Anolis sagrei: one gene and its partner. The protein of the gene in region 2 interacts with the protein of the main gene of each other region in a biochemical or structural test. Links are inferred from orthologs where the notes say so. Each region holds a gene or a part of one and is shown on either strand. Other genes may lie near its edges.

What was found.
Region 1: of the proteins of PTPN6 (region 2) and LCK, one has a biochemical effect on the other in vitro, tested with the Homo sapiens proteins (4 studies listed by BioGRID and IntAct, with this or other methods). The link is inferred for Anolis sagrei from reciprocal best matches to the Homo sapiens genes PTPN6 and LCK.

The regions. Positions count from the first base shown.
Region 1 is NC_090034.1:83,357,202-83,365,027, forward strand, and holds the start of LCK (tyrosine-protein kinase Lck), read right to left. Parts: upstream 3,001-7,826; 5' UTR 2,941-3,000; coding exon 2,836-2,940; intron 51-2,835; coding exon 1-50. UniProt on the Homo sapiens protein: Non-receptor tyrosine-protein kinase that plays an essential role in the selection and maturation of developing T-cells in the thymus and in the function of mature T-cells. Plays a key role in T-cell antigen receptor (TCR)-linked signal transduction pathways.
Region 2 is NC_090022.1:198,223,698-198,230,561, reverse strand, and holds the start of PTPN6 (tyrosine-protein phosphatase non-receptor type 6), read right to left. Parts: upstream 3,002-6,864; 5' UTR 2,837-3,001; intron 713-2,836; 5' UTR 646-712; coding exon 632-645; intron 1-631. UniProt on the Homo sapiens protein: Tyrosine phosphatase enzyme that plays important roles in controlling immune signaling pathways and fundamental physiological processes such as hematopoiesis.

The DNA of each region.
Region 1 (7,826 bases), on a different chromosome or scaffold from region 2:
TCGGGAGACAAAAGAGGGTTGTAAAACTCGGAGCCATTCAAAGCCGGCCTCTGTAAACAAACAAACAAATAAACACCAAATATTCTTTCATGGCCAGGTTTTCCAACAAACTGGATCTCATGCTGAAGTTATTACATCCCAGTTCTTTTTTCTCTGGTCCTCAGATTGAGATGGAGGAATCTCAGAGCAAGATTACCGCCTTGAAAAGTGTGTGCAATTATACTACATTTTCATCATTCTTTCTTTCTGATGTTCACTTTGCATGGCAAACTCTGCCTGAGTGTGGTTACCAAGCCCATTTTAAACTGAATTTTAAATGTATTAGTTGGCATGATGATTTTAATATCTTTTAATCCTTGCTCTGTGTCTTTTAATATAATAAGTTTTAATGATCTTATGTTTTATCTAGGTATTTCAACTGCGTTATACTCTGCCTTGAGCCATGAGCATAAGTGGGTAGCAGTTGTTGTTGGATTTACAAAGTCTTCAGCCTCCTCTTATGCCTCCCCAAATGACAACTCTGAGGATTACATATTATTATTATTATTATTATTATTATTATTATCATCATCATCATCATCATCATTATTTTAAACACAACAAGATTAGTACACAGCAGACAAGATCACTATGCTGATTGTTGTATTGGATCACACGTTGGACACTTCCCAAGTGTCTAGGACTATGCGGATTATCTGCTTTGATAAACTTGAATAATGTATTGTTGTTATTATTATTATTGGGTTTACAAGGTCTTCAGCCTTCTCTTGTGTCTCCCCAAACTACAACAAGGATTCCATTTCATTATTATTGCAATGTACCAAAACCAAGATTGCAAAAACATCTGTTATAGAACTCCAGTATGCTGATGATAACGTAGTCTGTGCACATTCAGAATAAGTCCTACAAGCCATTCTAAACACCTTTGCAGAAGCATACGAGTAGCTCGGCCTCTCATTGAACATCAAGAAAACAAAAGTGCTCTTTCAGCAGGCACCAGCCAATCCCTCTGCAATGCCAGAAATACAGCTTAATGGTGTAACATTAGAAAATGTTGACCATTTCCACTACCTTGGCAGCCACCTCACCACAAAAGTCAACATTGACACTGAAATACAACATCACCTGAGCTCTGCGAGTGCAGCATTTTTCCAAATGAAGCAGAGAGTGTTTGAGGATCGGGACATCTGTAGGGATACCAAGGTGCTTGTTTATAAGCCATTGTCCTCCCAACCCTGCTATATGCCTGCGAAACCTGGATTGTCTACAGACATCATACTTCCATCAGTGTTGCCTCTGAAAAATCCTGCAAATCTCTTGGGAAGACAGGCGGACAAGTGTCAGCCTATGCCATCAACTCTGCTGGACTGGCCACGTTGTCCGAATGACCGATCACCATCTCCCAAAGTAGTTACTATACACACAACTCAAGAATGGAAAATGTAATGTTGGAAGACAGGAAAAGAGATTTAAAGATTCAAAGTGCTGGCATTGGCCTTTAAAGCCCTAAACGGTTCTGGCCCAACATATCTATCCGAACGTATCTCGGCCTATCAGCCCACCAGGACCCTAAGATCTTCGGGAGAGGCCCTACTCTCCATCCCACCTGCTTCACAGGTGCGGCTGGCGGGAACGAGAGACAGGGCCTTTTCTGTGGTGGCCCCGCGGCTTTGGAATGCCCTCCCTATAGAGATAAGATCAGCCTCCTCGCTGATGGTATTTCGAAAAAAACTGAAGACATGGATGTTTGAACAAGCATTCGGCTAATCCGGTGCGATGAAGTTCATGATCAAGGACTGGCAATTCACAGACAACGAAATTGGATTATGATTTTAGTTAAGAGATGCGTTGGTCTGTATTGGTGGCCCAATACTGTGTACTGTATATGTGTTTTATGCTTTTAATCTGAATATTGTTGTTTTTAAGTGTTGTAAACCGCAATGAGTCGCCGATTTAGGCTGAGATATTAGCGGTATACAAGTGCATTAATAAATAAATAAATAAATAAATAAATAAATAAATAAATAAGATGGTCTTAAAGCCAACCTTAAAAACTGTGGCATAAACACCGAGAACTGTGAAGCCCTGGCCTTTGAGTGCTCTAACTGGAGGTCAGCTGTGACCAGCAGTGCTGAGGAATTAGAAGCATGAATGAAGTGAGAAGGGGAGAAACATGCCAAAAGGAAGGCAGGTCAAACCAACTGCGACCAGGACTGCCTTCCACCTGGAAACTGATGTCCTCACTGCGGAAGAACGTGCAGGTCAAGAATAGGTCTCCGCAGCTACCTACAGACCCACAACGAAAACACTACACTTGGAGGACCATCATCCTCCAGCTACAAGGGATCGCCTAAGTAAGTAAGTATTAATAATATTAGTAATAATACTAATAATAATACTTACTTACTTAGACGATCCCTCGTAGCTGGAGGATGATGGTCCTCCAAGTGTAGTGTTTTCGTTGTGGGTCTGTAGGTAGCTACTATAAGTAGTATTAGTATTATTGGATTTGCAAGGCTTCCAGCCATCTCTTGGGTCTCCCCAAACTACAACCCTAAGGATTCCATTGCATTATTATTAATTATTATTATTGTATTTATTTGCTATATATATCCGGCTTTCTCTCTCTAAAAAGAGACCCAAAGTAGCTAACAACACTAAAAATAATAATGTTTTCATGATAGCACCAACTAGAAAATTATATTTATAACACAATAATGTTACGTTGTGTTATTAGCCATAGCATCCTGGCTGGGTCTGCCAAGCCTGGAGCCATCGCAGTCCAGGTGGTACCAAACTGCATTAACTCTCCAGTGCAGTTGCAAAACCTCTCACCTGGGGCTTGGTGTCTGGGTCGATGGGATAGTGACAGGTCTGACAGATCTCCAGGTCCCCTTCCTCCCAGCCCTCATCACAGTCCAAACTGCAGCAGCAGCCCATGCTTCTGGTGCACGACAGGAACGCAAGGGACACTGAGGCCCAGCTCCCTGCGCAAGCTTTTGTCTTCTGCAAAAAAGAAAGAGACGATATTGGAAAATCAAGAGGACTTTCAAGAGGTTCCCCAAAAGGCCTGATCAGAGCCAAGGAACAGAGACCACTTGGGTGTGATCCTGGATTCATCGCTGAGCCTGGAACCTCAGGTCTCAGCGGTGACCAGGGGAGTATTTGCACAGTTAAAACTTGTGCGCCAGCTGTGCCCATACCTTGGGAAGTCTGACTTGGCCACAGTAGTCCACGCTCTGGTTATATCCCGTATAGACTACTGCAACGTGCTCTACGTGGGGTTGCCTTTGAAGACGGTCCAGAAGCTTCAACTAGTCCAACGAACGGCAGCCAGGTTGCTAACAGGAGCGGCCCTCTTGTTGCGCCAGCTCCACTGGCTGCCGGTTTGCTACTGGGCCCAATTCAAAGTGCTGGCTTTGGCCTTTAAAGCCCTAAATGGTTCTGGTCCAATTTACCTGTCCAAAAGCATCTCCCCTTATGAACCTTCAAGGACCCTGAGGTCATCTGGGGAGGCCTTGCTCTCAGTCCTGCCTTCGACACAAGCACATCTGGCGGGGATAAGAGACAGGGCCTTCTCAGTGGTGGCCCCTCAGCTATGAAACACCCTCCCTAGGGAGATCAGATCGGCTCTCTCCCTACTAATGTTTCGGAGGCAAGTTAAAACATGGCTATTCAAGCAAGCGTTTACAAATACAGAGTAAATGACATAGAAAATTGAATGACTTGATGACGGAATTGGACAATGCTTGATAATAAGGAGACGCTAATGATGTTGTTATTATTGTTGTTTTATACTGTTTTAATGTTTTAACTTGTTTTGTGATATTATATGTACTGTTTTGTTGGAAACCACCTTGAGTCGCCGATTGCCTGAGAAAGGCGGTATACAAATACAGTAAACAAACAAACAAACAAATAAATATCAAACAGGTCATCCACATTATCCGCTTTGAATTGGATTATACAAGTCTACACTGCAATACAATCCAGTTCAAAGCAGATCAGATTTACATGGCAGTGCAGATGGGGCCCCAGTTCAAAGCAGATAATCTGGATTTTATATGGCAGTTCAGATGGGGCATCATATAATCCAGTTCAAAACAGATCATGACCCCTTTTACACTGCCATATAAAATCAAGATTGTCTGCTTTGAACTGGATTATATGGCAGTGTAGACTCATATAATCCACTTCAAAGCAAATAATGTGGATTATCTGCTTTGATAAACTGGGTTATATGGAAGTCTAGAAGGAGCCAATGTTGATTTTATATGGTAGTGTAGGAAGGGTCTCATATAATCTAGTTCAAAGCAGATGTGGTTTATCTGCATTTATAAAGTGGATTATATGGCAGTGTAAAAGGAGCCTTAGAAACAATTTGCAAACTTGCATCACATTGCAGAAGCAGTGAAATCAATCACATTTTGTCCTCCAAATCTGAGGGCTAAAGTGATGTCAATGCAGTGACCAAGAGGAAACCCACAATCTCAGCCACAAACTCATAAACCTTGACATTCTAAATATACTCGCTTGGCGACCTGGCAATGACCGGGTTATTTGAAAAGGGCATTTGACGGCTGGGTTTTTTCTTGGCTGGCTTCAGTGCTCTCTGGAGAAGGGTGAACTACAACTCCTATGTGCCAAGGTCAATCATCCCGAAACCCTGCCAGTATTCACAATTGGCCATGTTGGGTCTGTGTGCCAAGTTTGGTCAAGATCCGTCATTGGCTGGGTTCAGGGCTCTCTGGATAAAGGTGAACTACAACTCCCATATGCAGAGGACAATCACCCTCAAACCAGGCCTGTATACACAGAGGGCCATGTTGGGTCTGTGTGCCAAGTTTGGTCCAGATCTGACATCGGCTAGGTTCAGTGCTCTCTGGATAAGGATGAACTACAACTCTCAGATCCAAGGTCAATCACTCCCAAAATAAGGGAAACCAGGACTGTGTTTGGAACAAAGTGGGAAAATGGGGTGAAATTAGGACTTTTTTTCAGCGATAAGATGAGTATTCCAATTGGTATTTGCCAAATTGTGACCATTGCAATGTATAGCATTACACACTGATATGATACAGCCTGCATTATTATATACCAAGGACTCACTTCTTAATATTTTGTAATCTGTTTAATGAATATTTAGAGGCACTGAACCCCTTATTTGGAATTCTGAACTCATCCAAAATTCAAAATTGTCCAAATGACATTATTATAATCCTTAATCATTAATTTATATTTATATTTTTACATTTATTATATGTATTATTATTAAATGTGTTCTTATTATTATGCAAAAACTTTGCTTTCTGATGGTTCAGAGGACACTGACTTGACTCCATGCACAAAATCATTAAAAATACGGCGTATAAAATAACCTATAGACTATAATAGCATATAAAATGTATATGAAACACAAAAGAATGACATGTTTAGTCTTATGTCCCATCTCCAAGATAATCACAATTCATATATATACATATCTATATTTATATGGATATGCAAATGTAGAGATCCCTAAACCTGAGGGGGAAATATCCCAAATACTTTTGCTCCCAACCATTTCAGAGACTCAACATTTATACAGTAATTAGAATATTGCAGCAAATTAATTGAAATAGTAGGGCACACGGCTTTGTCACTTTCTCTGATTATGAAAAATAATTAAAATTAACATTATAACATTAATGTTAAGACCAAGCCAGGGGGAGTTGTGTCATGTGTTACGTATTTTAATAGGTTTTTCGTGAATTTAGTTCATTCTTTTTAGTAGTCCTGGGTTTAGTTTTAGTGTTTATATGCTTTAGATTTGTAATTGAACAATACATTGTTTTCATTTCAGTATTTATTGGGTTGCTGTGAGTTTTCTGAGGTGTATGACCATGTTCTAGAAGCATTCTCTCCTAACGTTTCGCCTGCATCTATGGCAGGCATCCTCAGAGGTTGTGATGTCTGTTGGAAACTAGGCAAGTGGGATTTATATATCTGTGGAACGTCCAGGGTGGGAGAAAGAACTCTTGTCTGATTGAGGCAAGTGTGAATGCTGCAATTGATCACCTTGATTAGCATTGAATGGCCTTGCAGCTTCAAAGCCAGACTGCTTCCTACCTGGGGGAATCTGTTCGGAGGTGTTAGCTGGCCCTGTCAGGAATTCCCATTTATGAGTGTTGTTCTTTATTCACTGTCCTGATTTTAGATTTTTTTTTAAACACTGGTAGCCATATTTTGTTCAATCTATTGTCGAAGGCTTTCATGGCTGGAATCATTGGGTTGTTGTTGGTTTTTTCGAGCTATATGGCCATGTTCTAGAGGCATTTTCTCCTGACGTTTCGCCTGCATCTATGGCAAGCATCCTCAGAGGTAGTGAGTTCTGCTGGAACTAGGAAAAAGGGGTTTTTATATCTGTGGAATGACCAGGGTGGGACAAAGGACTCTTGTCTGTTGGAGCTAGGTGTGAAAGTTTCAACTGACTACCATGATTAGCATTTGATTGCCTGGCAGTTCCTGGGGCAATCTTTTGTTGAGAGGTGATTAGATGTCCTTGTTTGTTTCCACTCTGTTGTTGTGCTCTACATAGGGACCACCAAACGCAGCGCTCAAACACGAATCAAGGAACATGAAAGGCACTGCAGACTACTTCAACCAGAGAAGTCAGACATAGCAGAGCACCTGATGAACCAACCTGGACATAGCATATTATTTGAGAACACAGAAATATTGGACCACTCCAACAACCACCATGTCAGACTACACAGAGACGCCATTGAAATCCACAAGCATGTGGACAATTTCAACATAAAGGAGGAAACATGAAAATGAACACAATCTGGCTACCAGTATTAAAAAACTCTAAAATTATAACAGCAAAATAACAGAGAGGAAACAAACAAGGACATCTCAACAAAAGATTGCTCCAGGCACTGCCAGGCAATCAAATGCTAATCATGGTAGTCAGTTGAAACATTCACACCTAGCTCCAACAGACAAGAGTCCTTTGTCGAACCCTGGTCATTCCACAGATATAAAAAAACCCTTTTCCTAGTTCCAACAGACCTCACTACCTCTGAGGATGCTTGCCATAGATGCAGGCGAAACGTCAGGAGAAAATGCCTCTAGAACATGGCCATATAGCCCGGAAAAACCTACAACAACCCATATTTTGTTCATTTTAATAGTTTCCTCCCTTCTGTAGAAATTGTCCGCATGCTTGCGGATTTCAAGCTTTTGTATGTTGTGTTTCCAGTCTTTGTGACACTCAGAAATACTTCCCTCTCTCCTTTTCATATTGTTTTTCAACGTTTATCCCATCTGAGTGTTGGAAAGACTCTGGAAACACAACATAACAAAAGCTTGCAACCTAGTAACAGACACATTGCATGCACTACCTCTGAGGGGGCTTGCCATGCACTACCTCTGAGGAGGCAGGCAAAACGTCAGGAGAGAATGCCTCTAGACCATGGCCATAAAGCCCGAAAAAACCTACAACAACGCAGTGATTCCGGCCATGAAAGCCTTCGACAATACATTGAACATTGCATGCTGTTTGCTGCCTTTGCAAATGGCTACAGAAATAATACAAACACAGCGGAAGCAAATGGGTTTCGAAGTAGTTTTTAACAATGGCATTGGGTTCTGCATCGCTCGAACCAAACTTTGTGGAATTCTGTTGTTTTGACCTTTGCTGTGCCCATTGTGGGAAAACATCCCATTTCCTGTTCAGGGTTTGTCCCAAAACAGTGAATAAATATAATGTAATTCAGTACAAGCGGGGAATGATAAAGGCGTCTTATCAAATCAGTGGAAAGAGGAAGAAATGATATTGTATG
Region 2 (6,864 bases):
GATTACTCTTGTTTATTTATTTATTTATTTACTATATTTATATACCATCCCTCTCAGCCCACAGGCAACTCGGGGAGGTTTACAGTTGGTACCAAGACCATAAAATACAATTTCAATCCAATAAAAACAATTGGATAATAAAACCATAATAAAATTAATAAAAACACAAACATTAGGGTCGCCCGTTAAAAACATTGTCCAATCACATTGTCCAACCATTCCATTTCCCTATGTCTATTACACTGTATTTGCAAATGCCTGCTCAAAACGCCAAGTCTTGACTTTCTTCTGAAATGTTAAAAGGAAGGGGGCCGATCAGATATCCTTAGGGAGGGTGCTCCATAGCTGAGGGGCCACCACTGAGAAGGCCCTGTCTTTCGTCCCCACCAGCCATACTTGTGATGAAGTTGGGGCTGAGAGCAGGGCCTCCCCAGATGATCTTAAAGTCCTGGAAGGTTCATAAGGAGAAACACGTGGTTCCCCACAACTGCTTCAAACTTCATTATAGACACTGCTAGCAAAATCGTTATTTTAATTTTCCTTACAGTTTCTGATTCCCTTCCCAAAGATATTCTTCTGCTATGAATTAGGTTCCTAGGCAAAATAAAAATCCAGCTTGGGAGAAACGTACCTGCAGGATGGCATCAGGATCCCAGACACTGGGGACCCCACTAAGGAAAGCTGAAAAGGTGGGATTCCACAGCATGCAGTCCTGGGGAGAAAAAAAACCAAATCAGGAGGATGATCAAAAACTGAAGAAAAAAACATGCAGTACCTGCATACACCAAACACACACACAGTAGAGTCTTGCTTATCCACCCTTCACTTATCCAACATTGTGTATTATCCAACGCAGTCTGCTTCCAGCCCGAATCCACAGCTGTTTCAATACATTGTAATGTTATGGTGCTAAATTCATAAATACAGTAATTACTACATAACGTTACTGTGTATTGAATTGCTTTTTCTATTGCTTTGTTGTAAAACATGATGTTTTGGTGCTTAATTTGTAAAATCATAATGTAATTTGACTTTTAATAGGCTTTTCCTTAATCCCTCCTTATTATCCAATATCCAACATTCTCCCAGCCCGTTTACGTTGGGTGTGTGTGTGTGTGCGTGCGTGCGTGTGTGTGTGTATATATATATATATAATATGTCATTATCTTTAAGGCCCCTTCTGCATTGCCTTACAAAATCCAGATTATCTGCTTTGAACTGGATTATATGACAATATAGACCAGGCACTGGCAAACTTTGGCCCTCTGGGTGTTTTGGACTTCGACTCCCACAATTCCTAACAGCCTACTGGCTGTTAGGAATTGTGGGAGTCAAAGTCCAAAACACCCAGAGGGCCAGAGTTTGCCTGTGCCTGCTGTAGACCCATATAATCTAGTTCAATTTTGATTATCTAAATTATATGGTAGTGTAGAAGGGGCCATAACTATATATACAATTGTCATTTTGCTTTCTGTGTTTCTGGGATTATTCTATTATCTAGAACAACAAATGGAAATAAGTAAATAAGTATTGCACATATGCCCCAAGAATATAACAACATATTGAATTGTGTATATGTTTGTGTGTAGATTTGAGAGACTGCAAGTCACTTCTGGTGTGGGAGAATTGGCCGTCTGCAAGGATGTTGGCCAGGGGATGCCCAGATGTTTTGATGTTTTACCATCCTAGTGGGAGCCTTCACTCATGTCCCCATATAGAGAGCTGGAGCTGACAGAGGGAGCTCATCCATGTTCTCCCCATATTCGAACCTCCAACCTGTCGATCTTCAGTCCTGCCGGCACAAGGGTTTAACCCGTTGCACCACCGGGGGCGCCTATCGATCTGTTCTTGATCATATTAACAATTACCATAATGACCATAACGCTGTCTTTGTATTTCCTTTCGAAACAATTTATGTTTCAATACATTATAATATTTCCCACCATTACAAAACCTCTAGACGTTGCTGTATCTTTCCACATCCAAAGACTATTACATCCCCTTCCATACAGCTGAATAAAATCTCCCACTTTCTGCTTTGAACTGGAATATAATGCACTGTGGACTCAGATAATCCAGTTCAAAGCAGATATTGTGGGATTTTCTGCCTTGATATATATCTTCCCGCAGGAGTGGTACCTATTTATCTACTCACATTTGCATGTGTTTGAACTGCTAGGTTGTCAGAAGCTGGGGCTAACAGCAGGAGCTCAGCCCACTCCCTGGATCTGAACTGCCGACCTCTCAGTCAGCAAGTTCAGCAGCTCAGCAGTTTAATCCACTGCACCACGGGGGGCTCCAATCAATAGGGTTTCGTCCAATAGGATTATAATCCCATGTCAGATTTTCAATTAATGATTTGTTGATTTCCTATCCAAGATTTCATTCAGAACATCAACTTAGGTACTAACAAATGTGCCGGTAACTTTGAATTTCTTTTTTACAGTTTCTTTGTTGCCTAAAGTATCTTTGGTGTAAATATATACCTCCTGTGAGGGATCTCATCCTATTGGGGGAGCGATCTTGTAAAAGTTGACTCAAGGGTTAAGTCCATTGGCCCCAATGACACTTATTTCCAGGAATGTGGAAATACAAACCGAGCCTGAGGATATCTTTCTTTGTCAAGTGCTGCATTGCTCCCAGATATACAAAATTTAAAAGTTGGCAACTATGTTTTTACACTGACAATAGTTGCTGGAGAAAAACAGGAATATAATATTAATTATTGTGTTAGTTATTAATATCAATAAAAGCAAGAGGCCTAATGCAATAAAACATTGCATCGGGTGCATGCCTGTTGCATTCAAACTGGAAAGGCTCATAGCTAAAAATTTACCTGTTCAGGCGTGAAGGTTCTTCCTTAGTGACCCAGGGAGAAGGAGATGGAAATCCGGCTCAAACGTTTAGTTTTTGTAAACAAGGCCCCATTATTTTCCCTGGCAAATGTCTCCCTGAGCACTAGTTAGTTAATGAACACACAGGAATGGTATCAGGAAGGGAAAAGCGCAACCTGAGGGAGAAACAGGTAACCAGGGGAGGGACAACCTGTTCTCCCCGCCCCGTTCACCTTCGGCAGGGCTCTCTCTAGGTGGATCTGTGCTCAGTTTGGAACTGAAATGCACCCATCAGAACAAAACACACAATTGCTGTGCATTTAACTGGCCCTGCGGACCCTCTGCAGCACCCAGTTTAGCAGCCCAATGGTGACTAAAGCTGCCACTTCTTCAGAGACACAGATCCTTGACTGCCATCATAAGGACCCAGCTTACTTACTTACTTAGGCGATCCCTCGTTGTCAGAGTAGGATAATCCTCCAGGGTGGGTCCGTAGATCAGTGTACTGATGGGTCCGGAGGTGGCTATAGAGCCCTATTCTTGATCTGCATCTTCTCCCGCAGTGAAGGCATTGGTTTCCAGGTGGAAAGCGATCTCGGTTGGGGTTGGCTTGATGCGCCATCCTCTTGGTACGTTTCTCTTTCGTGCCTCTTCAAATTCTACAGCACTGTTGGTCACAGCTGACCTCCAGCTGGAGACCCTGCACTTCACATGTGAACAATTTTAAGGCCTAAACCAGGCATGGGCAAATGTCAGCCCTCCAGGTGTTTTGGACTTCAACTCCCACAATTCCTAACAGCCTATGCCTGTCCTAAACTCTTCATGCTCTGTATAAATATGGCATTGATTATTGATCCAAATTAATATTTTCTCTAAAAAGGTAAATACACCCATGAGATTCCAGTTCTATTGTAAGAGAGCTATACTTTTGTTGCTTGCATGAGTCAATGATATTATTTATACACTCACCACTTTGAATCTTTATCATTCCTAAACACACTTTAGGAATGATAAAGAGGAAACGGCCCCGGCCCAGTTTACCTGTCCCTTTACGAACCACCTCGGAAACCAAGATCATCAGGGGAGGCCCTGCTCTCGGTCCCACTACCATCACATGTGCGTTTGATGGGAACGAGAGACAGGGCCTTCTCAGTGATTGCCCTCCAGTTATGGAACTCCCTTCCTGGCAATATTAGATCAGCCCCTTCCCTCCTGTCCTTCAGAAGGATGGTGAAGACCTGGCTGTGGGACCAAGCCTTTAGGGCCGTGCAATGAGGCAAAATGGTGTCCTGAGATGGTTTTTAAGCAACTTTCAATGTGGATATAAGTGATTTTAATGTTTGTATATATTTATGGTTATATGTCCCGGCATTGAATGTTTGCCGTAAATATGTAGTGCTCCGCCCTGTGTCCCCTGCAGGGTGAGAAGGGGGGGGGGGATATAAATGTTTTAAATAAAAATAAAATAAATTCTGTCCTGACATTTCTGCCACATCTATGGCAGGCATCCTCAGAGGGTGAGAGGTCTGTTGGAAACAAAGCAAGTGAGGTTTATATATCTGTGGAATGTCCAGGGTGGGAGAAAAAAAGTCTTATTGCTATTGGCCACCTTGATTGGCATTGAATGGCAGTGCAGCTTCAAAGACTGGCTGCTTCCTGCTTGGGGGAATCCTTTGTTTGTAGATGTTAGCTGGCTTTGATTGTTTCATGTGTTTTGTGTGTTGCTCTTTATTTACAGTCTTGATTTTAGTTTTTTTAAATACTGGTAGCCAGATTTTGTTCATTTTTATGGTTTCCTCCTTGATGTTGAAGTTGTCCACAGCCTCTGAGGATGCCTGCCATAGATGTAGGCGAAACGGCAGGAGAGAATGCTTCTTGAATATGTCCATACATGTTCTCCTCAGAACATGTTGCTGACATGTACTCCTCAGAAGCATCTCTTCAACCAGTGCACTGGACTGGACAGGACTTTGGTCTGACCCAAAGCGGGCCTCTTTTTTTTACATCTACTCAAAAGGTTCCCATGGCTGCAGTCTGAAGGGTGGTTATAGCCCCAGTAGAAACCACTCAGTCCCCACACCATTTTCTCAATGTAAGTCTCTCCACCAATTATAACTTGGTAACAGAGGAGCCCATGGTGGCGCAGTGGGTTAAAGCACTGAGCTGCTGAATTTGCTAACCGAAAGGTCGCAGTTTCGAATCCAGGGAGCGGTGTGAGCTCCCATTGTTAGCCCCTGCTTCTGCCAACCTAGCAGTTTGAAAACATGCAAATGTAAGTAGATCAATAGGTACCGCTTCTGCAGGAAGGTAACAGTGCTCCATCCAGTCATGCGGACCACATGACTTTGGAGGTTCTATGGACAATGCCAGCTCTTCGGCTTAGAAATTGAGATTAACACCAATCCCCCAGAGTCGGACACGACTGGACTTAATGTCAGGAGAAAACCTTTGTTTATACAAACTGGGAAGATTCAAAATGAAGTATAAGGAGCAGAATTGGGTCCCCCCCCCCCTCCCATGAATGGAAACTATATTAAGGCCCCTTCTGCATGGCCATATAAAATCCAGATTATCTCCCTTAAACTGGATTATATGGCAGTGTAGACTCATATAATCGAGTTCATGTCAATTATCTGCATTGATAATCTGGATTATATGGTGGTATATGTATAAATGTATAAATATATTTGGAGGTATATGTATAAATCTGTAAATGCTGAATTCCTACGTCGCCAGTCGTTTGTAAGCCACTTTGTGTCCCATATTGGAAGAAGGCCAGGTTAATCAACATAGATATTGGTTTAACTATGGGCCATGAGCATTAGACATGATTTAGGAAAAAAATAGTACCTGCTCAGTAATTAATTTATAACAAAGCATGTTGTTTCAGCACGTATCATTAATAGATAAATAACAAGAAAAGGGGCATCCATGTGTTCCTGATTTGCATACTTGCAGACTTTGCATTTTACTGCTTATTAATGACCATAAGACATTTTACTGCCAGTCCTGCTATCTGTCACAAGTAGAGCTCGGCTTCACAGAAACTGGAGACCAAAAGGAGAGACACTATTCCTGGGGAAAGATCCAACCTCCATTACTGGATATCTTAACAGAAGCTGAAAAATATTATTATAGAACATTTGACTGTTCAATCTACAGTGTCAAGAACCTTTATTGCTCTTTCGAATGAAGTCCATCTTTTAGCAATGATGCACCAATTCATTTTTGAGACTCTGCAAAAGCCAACACTTAGCTGTTGGGGAAAAGGCCATTAGGCGGATGTTTATTTTTACCCATAGTCACTGTTGGTCAAACTTTATATGATAACTGAAAATAAGCTTATCCGGGAACAATGTCCATCTAATTGCATACAGATTGTCATCCTAGATAAGTGTTCCTAGAAGTTGAAAAAAAGTTTTCCCTTGATCACTCATTCAAGTATGCGAAGTAGCAATGACACGTTTGTGACCCAGCATTTGCTCTCAGATGCAGCTCAGCTTGTTCTGCAAGGTAAGACTTGCCTCTATTACTGTCATGTCATACTGTGTTTTCACATATTTAGTGGACAGAGATCTATGAGCCTGAGATTCAGGTTTCTAAAGCAATGAAAAGATTGTGATTGAAATACCAAAGCATATCTTCCCCCATGAACCAATGGAGCACCTGTGGTGCAATGGGTTAAACCTTTTTGCCAGCAGGACTGCTGACTGAAAGGTTGGCGATGGGAGCAGGGAGCGGAGCTCCCATGGGAGCGGGGTGAGCTCCCATTTGTCAGCTCCAGCTTCTCATGCAGGGACATGAGAGAAGCCTCCCACAGGATGGTAAAACACCCTGGCGTCTCCTTGGCAATGTCCTTGCAGACAACCAGTTCTCTCAAACAGAAGCAACTTGCAATTTCTCAAGTCACTCCTGACACAGAAAAACAAAACAAAACCATGAACCAATACTAAGACTGCCAATGTGGGTTCGACAACTTTTCTGATTGCCAAGGGCATCTGTCGTCGTCATCATCATCATCATATCTGAT